3 linked regions of the Macaca mulatta genome follow. Each later gene encodes a partner of the first gene's protein in a complex. Links are inferred from orthologs where the notes say so. Each region holds a gene or a part of one and is shown in the gene's direction. Other genes may lie near its edges.

Region 1 (3,690 bases):
CGTTGGATGCACAGTATTTTATTTAACATATTCCCTGCCGATAGACAAGTCGTTTCTACACGTGAATTTCTTTCTTCCTTTTTTTTTTTTTTTTTTTTTTTTTTGAGACTGAGTCTCATTCTGTTGCCCAGGCTGGAGTGCAGTGGCACGATCTCAGCTCACTGCAATCTCTGCTTCCCAGGTTCAAGAGATTCTCCTGCCTCAGCCTCCGGAGTAGCTGAGACTACAGGTGTGTGCCACCACGCCCGGCTAATTTTTGTTTGTTTGTTTTTAGTAAAGACGGGGTTTCACCATGTTGGCCAGGCTGGTCTCGAACCCCTGACCTCAAGTGATCCGCCCGCCTCCGCTTCCCAAAGTGCTGGATTACAGGCGTGAGCTACCGCGCCCAGCCTCACATGTGAATTTCTTTAAAAACACCACCAGCAAAACCCCACTATTCCCATTTTACTAAGAAAGGTGCTGAAGTCCAGAGAAGCAGAAAATGTTCTCATAATTTACGCTGAAAGCTGCGTCCTCAAGTTCCGGTTTCCCATCTCCCAGCTGCACTCCAACTGCTCGCGCAGTCCCCACAGTGTACCTGCCCGACCAGCCGGCCCCAGCAAGCCCCAGGAAGCGGTCCGCTGAACCTCGGGCTCTTGGGTTTTCCTATGCCCCCTGGAGGTATCTGCAAACCTCTCGGCATCGCTCCACCACACCTCCGACCAGCAGGTGGCACTGTTGCCATCTCCATAACATAGACTGGCCTTCCTTGTGGTGCTCATGTTTTCCTAAGTCCCCGGGCACTTCCGGCACTCGCGGAACTTTGATGCAGCTGGATGCGCAACGTGGGGACTCAGGCGCGCCGGGCGGCAGGAGTTGCTTCCGGCCGTGTAGGTGGTCTGAATTGGGAGGCTGCGGCTAAGGGAAGATGGAGACAATACTGGAGCAGCAGCGGCGCTATCATGAGGAGAAGGAACGGCTCATGGACGTCATGGCTAAAGAGATGCTCACTAAGAAGTCCACGGTGAGTGGGGTCTGAGCAGGGGCTGCGGCAGGGGCATGGGCCTCAATCCCGTGTTTGACCTCTGAGAGCTTGCTTTGGCCCTCAGCGCCTCCCCGCACTCCGCCTCCTGCCTCCTCCGGGGCTCCCTCTCCGAGCTCCGGTCTTGGTAACCTCCTCCCGGGGTCCAGAGCCCCAGAGGCCTTTCTTCCTCAGCTGCTAAAACCTGAGCGGATAAAACCTGAGCGGGTAAGCTCCGCCCTCGGGCGGCCTTTTCTATTCCAGAACGCAAGCTAACGGCGTTTGTGTCACCGTTTGCTTTTTCAGCTCCGGGACCAGATCAATTCTGATCACCGCACTCGGGCCATGCAAGATGTGAGTGCCCAGCTGTCTGTCACTCTGGGTTGGCGAGGGCGGGAAAAGAGAGGGGAAGTGAAGTGCGGGGTCTCAGTATGAGCACTGGCTAAAGGTAACCGGATTGGCCAGTCGCGAGCTCTCTGCCTGGACAGATGTCCACAGGCTGCCGGATGTAAGGGTGCTTCCTCAGTTCTCTGAATGGGGAACTCTTACGCATTCTTCGTTAATCGGAAAGGTGCCCCCCTTTTTTTTTTCTTTTGAGACGGAGTCTCGCTCTGTTGCCCAGGCGCGGTCTCGGCTCCCTGCAACCTCCGACTCCCGGGTTCAAGCGATTCTCCTGCCTCAGCTTCCGGAGTAGTTGGGATTACAGGCGCTCGCCACCAACTAATTTTTGTATTTTTAGTAGAGACGGAGTTTCAACATTTTGGTCAGACTGGTCTCGAACTTCTGACCTCGTGATCCACCTACCTCGGCCTCCCAAAGTGCTGGGATTACAGGCTTGAGCCACTGCGCCTGGCTTACACGTGTCCGTTCTTACAGCATCCTGTATCCCTTGGATGTGCAAACAATAGTTATGAGGAGTCCATGACTCAGGTGCACAGCTACAATCCTTGCCTTAAAAAAAAAAAAAAAAAATATATATATATATATATGTATGTATGTATACCGTATATTAGTGTTTTTCTCCCAGGATACTGCTTTAAAGCATTTTGGACTACTAAACTGCATTTGTCTGGTAGTAGTTCAATTTATTACTTAAAAGAAAAACAAGATGCTATTTAAATTTTTAAACAAGGTGATGAGTAAATGGAGGTTCATTTTACTACGTTCCTTACTCTTGGGTACGTTTGAAACCTGTTTAAAAAGGAATAAAAGACTTACTTGGACCTTCTGATTTTCAGGAGATGATCAGATTACAAGCCCTCAGCCCCAAAATACTCTGAAAACCAAGGATTTTATTTTTTTCCCCTTGGGTGATTATTTGGTGTCAAAATCTGACCTGCTCTCACTTGACAGGTTTACTGGCCTGAACCTGTGATAGGCTTTTTATGGTCTTTAATTTACCCCACTTAGTAAATAAGGTATAAGGTTTACTGCAGAACTGTGTGCTCCAGATTCCACTAGGGCTGTTACATAATATGTGATACCTTTTCTGAACTTAAAAATTCCAAATTCTGAAACAAATCTGGGCCCAAAAGTTTTGGAGGAGGGGACTATGTACCTGTACCATCCCGAATTAGTATATTTTGACTACAAAGGAAGCCTATGTAATGTTTATTTAGCCTGTCTACTCCTCAGTCAAGCTTTTTGAAATAGTGAATATCATCTTTATCTTTGAGGATGTTAGGTGGGAGCTAGTGTTTAGCCAAAGAGGGTGAGTCTGTTACAGGGAAAGTTAGGCATCGGTGGTATGTAAAAATAGGAGCCACCCCTTAAATGTTATCATTTAGGTAATCTTCCAATCGACCTGCTTAAAAAACTAACCAGGAATCAGGGCTGTTAAAGGGCTATTGAAAAACTAACCAGGAAACAGGGCTATTAAAGGTACTAGGAAGCACAGAACTGTTAAGACCATGTCCGTATCTCTTGAGATTGCCCTGGGCTTTGACTGGAGAGCCCTTGTTGTTTGCTTAGCTCTACATTTGTGCAAATTGCCTCATTCTGATGGTTTTGTATTTGCCTTTCAGAGGTATATGGAGGTCAGTGGGAACCTGAGGGATTTGTATGATGATAAGGATGGGTAAGTGACAGTCACAGCTAATCTAGGAGTTAGTGCTTCTGAGGAGCCATGGTTAGAGGACTGACTTTGTGCTCTATCTTTGAAATTTTCCTGAAATTGCAGATTACGAAAGGAGGAGCTCAATGCTATTTCAGGACCCAATGAGTTTGCTGAATTCTATAATAGACTCAAGCAAATAAAGGAATTCCACCGGAAGCACCCAAATGAGGTATGTCCTCCGAAAAGTATTTTCTCCAGACCTATCTTTAAAGCATATAAAGGAAAGGTATAAAGGAAACTGGACATGTGCTATTCAAATGCACTTCAAGAAAGAACTTGCCATTTAGGTGCAAGGACCATAGTTAGCTGACATCCTACAACTGCAGTGTTTTCAGCATCTCCCTCAGCTTTGAAGCCAAGGCTGGCCGGGTGCGGTGGCTCACACCTGTAATCCCAGCACTGTGGGAGGCTGAGGTCGGCGGATCACCTGAGGTCAGGAGTTCGAGACCAGCCTGACGAACATAGTGAAACCCCATCTCTACTAAAAATGCAAAAATTAGCCAGGCATGGTGGCATGCGCCTATAATCCCAGCTACTTGGGAGGCTGAGGCAAGAGAATCACTTGAACCCGGGA
Region 2 (3,749 bases), about 86 Mb from region 1:
TGGGGTAGAGGACGGTTCTGTCTAATCCTTTTTTTTTTTTTTTTTTTGTTTCTGGACTTGCAGCCTCAGCTTTCACACTCCAGCCCTTAAGTTCACTAAGAAGGTCTGAGTTTCTGCTGCAGATGGTGGTGTTAACTGCTCCAACTCTTGTCCTGTCTTGCTTAGTTCCTACGGATATTTTTGTTTCTTGTCATTTGAAGGATTAAGAAACAAAAACAATCCAGAAATTGATCGGTTTTTTTAGACCAGTTCCATCCCTTCTGGATAACCAGATGTTAAATCGTGAGATCAGAGATGCTGTTCATCAGTCCCAACAAGATGGCCTACAGATCGCATTCTCACCTCGCCTTGCTGCTGCTTTAATTCCAACTTCTATTTCTTCCCTTATAGTTTTCTATGGGAATGAGGCGGATACAGGAAACACCCTGTCTCCTCTGTATTTTTGTAGCGGAATTTTCTATTTAAGGGGCTCATTAAAGCATAGTATTTATACACATTACTGGCATTGTTTCTTGTGTTTGAATAAAGGATTCTCCTAGGTAGGAAAGTGGTGGGTAAAAGGTGGGTATGATCCAAGAGAGGAAGGCATCTACTGTATTATTGCTAAGGAAATAGGGGAACTGGATTTGGTGAGACTCTGCAGAATTCAAGTGCAGTTTGGGGAAAGGATTCTGTGTGTGTCTCCCATTTAGAGGCAGATGGGGCCAGATTGTTCTAGAGATCCAGACTGAAGTCTCTGAGCTCCGATCCTATCCACCCCTCACCTGTGGTCACACACCACCTTGGAGCAGCCCTCACCCTCCCCATGCAATTACGACGAGATGAGCGCAGACGTCACTCCAGCTCAGACATTTCGCAGTCTCCTCCCCGAGGGAAAACCAAATACCTCCAGCCCAAATCAGGGCTGTTGAGGCCAAATCTGCAAGAAGGTTGCAGGCGAGATGGAGGGTTCCCTCTGCGCCTGAAAGCAGCCAAGTCCTCGGGTTGGGGGGACTCTTCAGCACATCCTTCTCTGGACAACAAAACATCATCACTGGCTACAAAATACATGAAAACTGAAGTTTTTGTTCTTTTAGCTTTCGAATTTACATTTTTGGGAGCAGTGTGATTCTTTCAAGTCTAGCAGTGCATTAAGACGGTCTGAGCGTTTCCGTTCCGCCCTCCTCGCTAAGACCACTAGCAGCAGCACCTCTGCGCGGGTGCCGAGGACTCCACCGCCCAACCCGAGTTAAGTCTTGGAGGCTCCTAAAATGGCTGCAGCCGCTTCCAGGCCCCTCCTCTTCCGCGGCTCCGCCCAGCGCTACGTCCTCCTTCGCCCCGGAAGTGGAAGTCGTGCTGAGGTCAGAAGGCGGAACCGCTGCTGGGAGACGGCGGGAGCTCTTTCGCCATGGCTGCCGGGCCGATCTCCGAGCGGAACCAGGGTAACTGGAGGGGGAAAGTCTGGAATGGGCTCAGCGTGGCTAGGAGGCCCCTACTACAGCCAGAAGTGCCTCTGCAGGGGTGGGAGACTGGACTCATCCATTCCCCAGAGGGCGCGAGACCGGCCCCGTGCCTCCTGGGGGCGGGGTGGCCAGGTGCTGGCTGAGGCCTGTGGGTGTGATACTTACGTCCAATCCCCTGCTGAGTTCTCACTCAAAAAAACAAAAAAATCCACTCAGAATACTAAATTAGACTTCAGAGGATTCCTGAAGTCCTGGAGAGAGAAGTTTAAGGGTTTAACTTTTTTTTTTTGCTCCTGTCCCCTACCCGCGTCCCCAGTTCCCCCGGTTGGGTTCCATCTTCATGTTTCCATCACCTCCTTCTTTCATGTTATACTCTCACCCTTGCTCTAACTTTCTGCTCCCTCCCTTCAGATGCCACTGTGTACGTGGGGGGCCTGGATGAGAAGGTTAGTGAACCACTGCTGTGGGAACTGTTTCTCCAGGCTGGACCAGTAGTCAACACCCACATGCCAAAGGATAGAGTCACTGGCCAGCACCAAGGTGAGTACATGACAAGGGGCAATTTGCTTCCGGAGGGTCCCGGCAGTATTCACAACTGTTTTGGAATAACATGAGCAACCTAAAGTATTTCTTTCTTTTAAGCCTCTGTTCAGTTTATTTCTGGAACCATTCTTAAGTGAGATTGTTTCTTTCTTGTTCTTTGTGATTAGAGGGTAGATGAGTTTTACCCCATTTTCAATCTCTTATGTTGTTAACCTCCTCTTCTCCACTTCTCCAGGCTATGGCTTTGTGGAATTCTTGAGTGAGGAAGATGCTGACTATGCCATTAAGATCATGAACATGATCAAACTCTATGGGAAGCCAATACGGGTGAACAAAGCATCAGCCCACAACAAAAACCTGGATGTAGGGGCCAACATTTTCATTGGGAACCTGGACCCTGAGATTGATGAGAAGTTGCTTTATGATACTTTCAGCGCTTTTGGGGTCATCTTACAAACCCCCAAGATTATGCGGGACCCTGACACAGGCAACTCCAAAGGTTATGCCTTTATTAATTTTGCTTCATTTGATGCTTCGGATGCAGCAATTGAAGCCATGAATGGGCAGTACCTCTGTAACCGCCCTATCACCGTATCTTATGCCTTCAAGAAGGACTCCAAGGGTGAGCGCCATGGCTCAGCAGCCGAACGACTTCTGGCAGCTCAGAACCCGCTCTCCCAGGCTGACCGCCCTCATCAGCTGTTTGCAGATGCACCTCCTCCACCCTCTGCCCCCAATCCTGTGGTATCATCATTGGGGTCTGGGCTTCCTCCACCAGGTAAAGCTTTTGGTTAAAATTTGTTTGTCTTAAGGTTGGGGGAGAGAGTCAGGAGGAAGAAAAAAAGAGCCTGAAAGGGGGATGGGACATGGAGTCAGTGAGTGATGGGAAGAGGACTGAGGGGTGATGGTAGTGGTGGAGAAGAAAGTTGTTGGGTTTCTTTAGGAGGGTGAAGTTGGTTGACTTTTCTAACATTGCTTTTGATTTTAGAGCACTGGGAGGAGGGGGAAAGAGCTCACCCTGCCCAGAGAGGCCAGATCAGGACAGGCTCTTTAAAGACATTTTCTCCTCACTACCATTAACTTTTCCTTTTTCCATTTCCTCTATAGGCATGCCTCCTCCTGGCTCCTTCCCACCCCCAGTGCCACCTCCTGGAGCCCTCCCACCTGGGATACCCCCAGCCATGCCCCCACCACCTATGCCTCCTGGAGCTGCAGGACATGGCCCCCCATCGGCAGGAACCCCAGGGGCAGGACATCCTGGTCATGGACACTCACATCCTCACCCATTCCCACCAGGTGGGATGCCCCATCCAGGTAGGTGTGCTTTGTTGGGAGGGAAGAGCTTGGTAGAGCATCTCTGTTACCTCTCACCCTGCTGCCCTTTGTTCCTCAACAGTAACAGTTTCAGAGTTTCCTTTCCTTCAGACATTCTATTATAAAAACATACAAAATACTCTCTAACATCCACCTCCCTGTATCCATTTCTTAAGTTTTTCTGACAAGAAGACTATACTTGCTGGTTTTTATTTCTTTAACCTTTAGTTCCATTCTCTTCTCTGACTCCAGCTCAAAGTGGTGACCTAATTGCCAAATCTCAGGGACACTTCTCCTCCTTATCTAGTTTGACCTCTGATGTACTTGAAACTAGTCGTGTCCTCCTGTTTGAAATTCTCGTCTCTTTTTGCTTTTGCTTTTCTAGATCCTCCACCCCTCTGACTCCTTAATCTCAGCTACCATGATAGACTCTTGTCTACTTGTGCCTAG
Region 3 (3,649 bases), on another chromosome or scaffold:
AGCAAGGCACATGCCTGGCTAATATTTGTATTTCTTGTAGAGTCTCAAACTTCTGGACTTAAGCAATCCACCTGCCTCAGTCTCCCAGTGTGCTGGGATTACAGACTTGAGCCACAGTGCCTGGCTGATATTTGTCCCTTTGTATCTAGCTCATTTTACTTGGCATAATATTTAGAAGATTCATGTTCAAAAAAAAAAAAAGAAGGAGATTCATGTTTTGGTAGCCTGTGTCAGAACTCATTCCTTTTTATGGCAGAATTACTCATTGTTTGTACATACTGTATTTTGTTTATCCATTCTACTGCTGATGTACACTTGGATTGTGTCCACCTTTCACAATTGGGAGTAATGCTGTGGTAGATGTTGCTGTGCTAATACCTATTTGAGTCCCCATTTTTAATTTTTTTGAGTGTATATGTAGGAGTGGAATTACTGGGTCATGGTAATTCCGTGTTTAACTTTTTGAGAAACCACCAAACTTTCTCAAAGCAGCTACATCCGTTTTACATTCCCAACAGCAGTATATGAGGGCTGCAGTTTCTCCACATCCTTGCTGACTTGTTTTCCACATTTGTGATTATAGCCATCCTGCTAGGTATGCAGTGGTGGTATGAAGTGGTAGCTTTGCCTTTCCCCCGGGATGAGTGATGTTGAGCATCTATTTTTTTTTTTTTGAGACGGAGTCTTGCTCTGTCTTCCAGGCTGGAGTGCAGTGGTGCGATCTCCACTCACTGCAAGCTCTGTCGCCTCCCGGGTTCACGCCATTCTCCTGCCTCAGCCTCCCGAGAAGCTGGGACTACAGGCGCTTGCCACCTTGCCCGGCTGATTTTTTTTGTATTTTTAGTAGAGAGGGGGTTTCACCATGTTCGCCAGGATGGTCTCGATCTCCTGACCTCGTCCTGCCTCGGCCTCCCAAAGTGCTGGAATTACAGGCGCAAGCCACCGTGCCCGGCTGATGTTGAGCATCTTTTTGTGTTTATTGGCCATTTGTGTATCTTTGTTGGAGAAATGTCTATTCAAATCCCGTTGCCCATTTTTTAAGAGTTGTCTTCTTGTATTTGAGTTCTCTATGTGTTCTGGGTACTAGACCCTTGTTAGAAATATGAATTGCAAATATTTTCTCTCATTTGGTGGGTTGTCATCTTACTTTCTTCCTTTGATGCATGAAAGTTTTAAATTTTGATAAAGTCCAGTTTATCTGTGTTTTCTTTGTTGCTTGTGCTGTAAATAAAACACTCACTGCACTTCCCAGATCTTCTCCCTGAATTGTTTTGAAACAAATCCTAGCTATCTTACTTAATGTTAACACCTAAAAATAATAACAGTAGTATCTTAATATAATCAAATAGCTTGTGCTTTATATTGATGTCAGACATTATCGTCAGGCAGAGAACTCGTTACCGAAAGTTTCTCTTCTCTGCTTCTTCCCAGTTACTTATATCAAATTGCACATCTTGGAGATGATGATGAAGAACCTGAGTTTTCATCAGCCATGCCTCTGGAAGAAGGAGACACATTCTTTTTTCAGCCAAGACCACTTAAAAACCTTGTGCTGGTTGATGAGTTGGACAGCCTCTCTCCCATTCTGTTTTGCCAGGTTGGTGGGTCTTTCCAGTCCCTTCCACAATCAATCTAAAGTTAAACTGAGATCTAGTCTAAGAAATAGCTTTATTAGTATTTCCTTGAACTCGCCAGTGTGTAAAGCAGTTAGAGGTAGAAGCGTGAGCATAAAAAACCGTTAATAAGTCCTTGGGCTTTTTTTCCCATAATGATGAAACTCATGTTTAATGTAAAAATTCAGATCATATTCCTGTACTGCTTGCTGGGGAGGAAAAAAATCAGACCATGTAAAAAGTGAAAAGTAAAAGTCCTCCCTATAATCTTCTCACCCGTCCGCTCCATTGAACCATATTGCTTATGTTAACAACTTCTTGTAACTGCTTCCAGGTGTTTTATCTGCATTTAGAATCATGTATATGTTTATGTGTTCTGTCTTTTTCTTTTTAAAATAAGTGGAGTCATATACTCCACAGTATTCTGTGGTTGACCTCTTGTCATATAAGTCTACATATAGCTGTATTTACTTCATTTTACCACGGTTCCTCTTTAAAATAGTTCTGAGACATTGGGATCAGTTGGTAACAGAAAGTTTTGAATCACCACCTCAAGGAGGAACCTGCAGTGGCACAGAATGAAGATTGTGTCTCTCATTGTTGGTGCTCAGTTGTGACAGCCAGGAATTTGATCATGCTGTTGCATCCTCAATTGCCAGGGTTTGAGTGACCATTAGGGACCACCTGTGTAGTTAATCACACTTCTGATGGGAGAGGAGCTTGTTCACTGGGTACTGGGGAAACAAATCAGCATTCAGACAGGTTTAATTACACCCATCTGAAATTAATTGCTTTGTTCTTCCTTTCTGAGAAATGATTAGTCTTTTTTTTTTTTTTTTTTTTTGAGACGGAGTCTCACGCTGTTGCCCAGGCTGGAGTGCAATGGCGCGATCTCGGCTCACTGCAAGCTCCGCCTCCCGGGTTCCCGCCATTCTCCTGCCTCAGCCTCCTGAGTAGCTGGGACTACAGGCGCCCGCCACCGCGCCCGGCTAATTTTTTGTATTTTTAGTAGAGACGGGGTTTCACTGTGGTCTCGATCTCCTGACCTTGTGATCCGCCCGCCTCGGCCTCCCAAAGTGCTGGGATTACAGGCTTGAGCCACCGCGCCCGGCCGAAATGATTAGTCTTGAGGACAACAGAAAATAAGTGTGACTAACTTCTTTTCTTTCTTTTTTTTTTTTTTTTTTGGAGACGGAGTCTCGATCTTTTTTCTTTTGGAGACGGAGTCTCGACTCCAGCCAGGAGGCTGGAGTGCAGTGGCGTGATCTCAGTTCACTGCAAGCTCCGCCTCCCAAGTTCATGCCATTCTCCTGCCTCAGCCTCCCTAGTAGCAGGAACTGCTAGCGCCTGCCACCACGCCCAGCTAATTTTTTGTATTTTTAGTAGAGGCGGGGTTTCACTGTGATCTCCTGACCTCGTGATCTGCCTGCCTTGGCCTCCCAAAGTGCTGGGATTATAGGCGTGAGCCACCACGCCCGGCCAAGTGTGACTAATTTCTAATTTGATTATTAGTGATTTTTCCACCTTCATTGCAATTTGAATAAATAATGTGTGTAAATAGTTTATTCATCAAGAATAAAATTAGCCAGGCATGGTGGCCCATGCTTATAATCCCAGCACTTTGGGAGGCCGAGGTGGGCAGGTCACCTGAGGTTGGGAGTTTGAGACCAGCCTGACCAACATGGAGAAACCCTTCCTGTACTAAAAACAACAACAACAACAACAACAAAAAAACCAAAATTAGCCAGGTGTGGTGGCACATGCCTGTAATCCCAGCTACTTGGGAGGCTGAGGCAAGAGAATCACTTGAACTCAGGAGGTGGAGGTTGCGGTGAGCCGAGATCGCGCCATTGTACTCAGCCTGGGCAACAACTCCGTCTCAAAGAAAAAAAAAAAAAAAAAGACCGGGCATGGTGGCTCATGCCTGTAATCCCAGCACTTTGCGAGGCCGAGGCGGGCGGATCACAAGGTCAGGAGATCGAGACCATCCTGGCTAATGTGGTGAAACCCTGTCTACTAAAAATACAAAACAATTA

The links.
Region 2: SF3A3 (region 1) and SF3B4 share a complex: the UniProt entries of both Homo sapiens proteins name them as parts of the 17S U2 SnRNP complex. The link is inferred for Macaca mulatta from reciprocal best matches to the Homo sapiens genes SF3A3 and SF3B4.
Region 3: SF3A3 (region 1) and SF3B3 share a complex: the UniProt entries of both Homo sapiens proteins name them as parts of the 17S U2 SnRNP complex. The link is inferred for Macaca mulatta from reciprocal best matches to the Homo sapiens genes SF3A3 and SF3B3.

What each region holds. Positions count from the first base shown.
Region 1 is NC_133406.1:202,805,034-202,808,723, forward strand, and holds the start of SF3A3 (splicing factor 3A subunit 3), read left to right. Parts: upstream 1-850; 5' UTR 851-907; coding exon 908-1,003; intron 1,004-1,306; coding exon 1,307-1,354; intron 1,355-3,024; coding exon 3,025-3,077; intron 3,078-3,179; coding exon 3,180-3,285; intron 3,286-3,690. UniProt on the Homo sapiens protein: Component of the 17S U2 SnRNP complex of the spliceosome, a large ribonucleoprotein complex that removes introns from transcribed pre-mRNAs.
Region 2 is NC_133406.1:117,227,233-117,230,981, forward strand, and holds the start of SF3B4 (splicing factor 3B subunit 4), read left to right. Parts: upstream 1-1,335; 5' UTR 1,336-1,387; coding exon 1,388-1,421; intron 1,422-1,853; coding exon 1,854-1,982; intron 1,983-2,220; coding exon 2,221-2,763; intron 2,764-3,092; coding exon 3,093-3,299; intron 3,300-3,749. Other genes in the region: MTMR11 (myotubularin-related protein 11), read left to right, coding at 1-8. UniProt on the Homo sapiens protein: Component of the 17S U2 SnRNP complex of the spliceosome, a large ribonucleoprotein complex that removes introns from transcribed pre-mRNAs.
Region 3 is NC_133425.1:69,307,737-69,311,385, reverse strand, and holds part of SF3B3 (splicing factor 3B subunit 3), read left to right. Parts: intron 1-1,431; coding exon 1,432-1,597; intron 1,598-3,649. UniProt on the Homo sapiens protein: Component of the 17S U2 SnRNP complex of the spliceosome, a large ribonucleoprotein complex that removes introns from transcribed pre-mRNAs.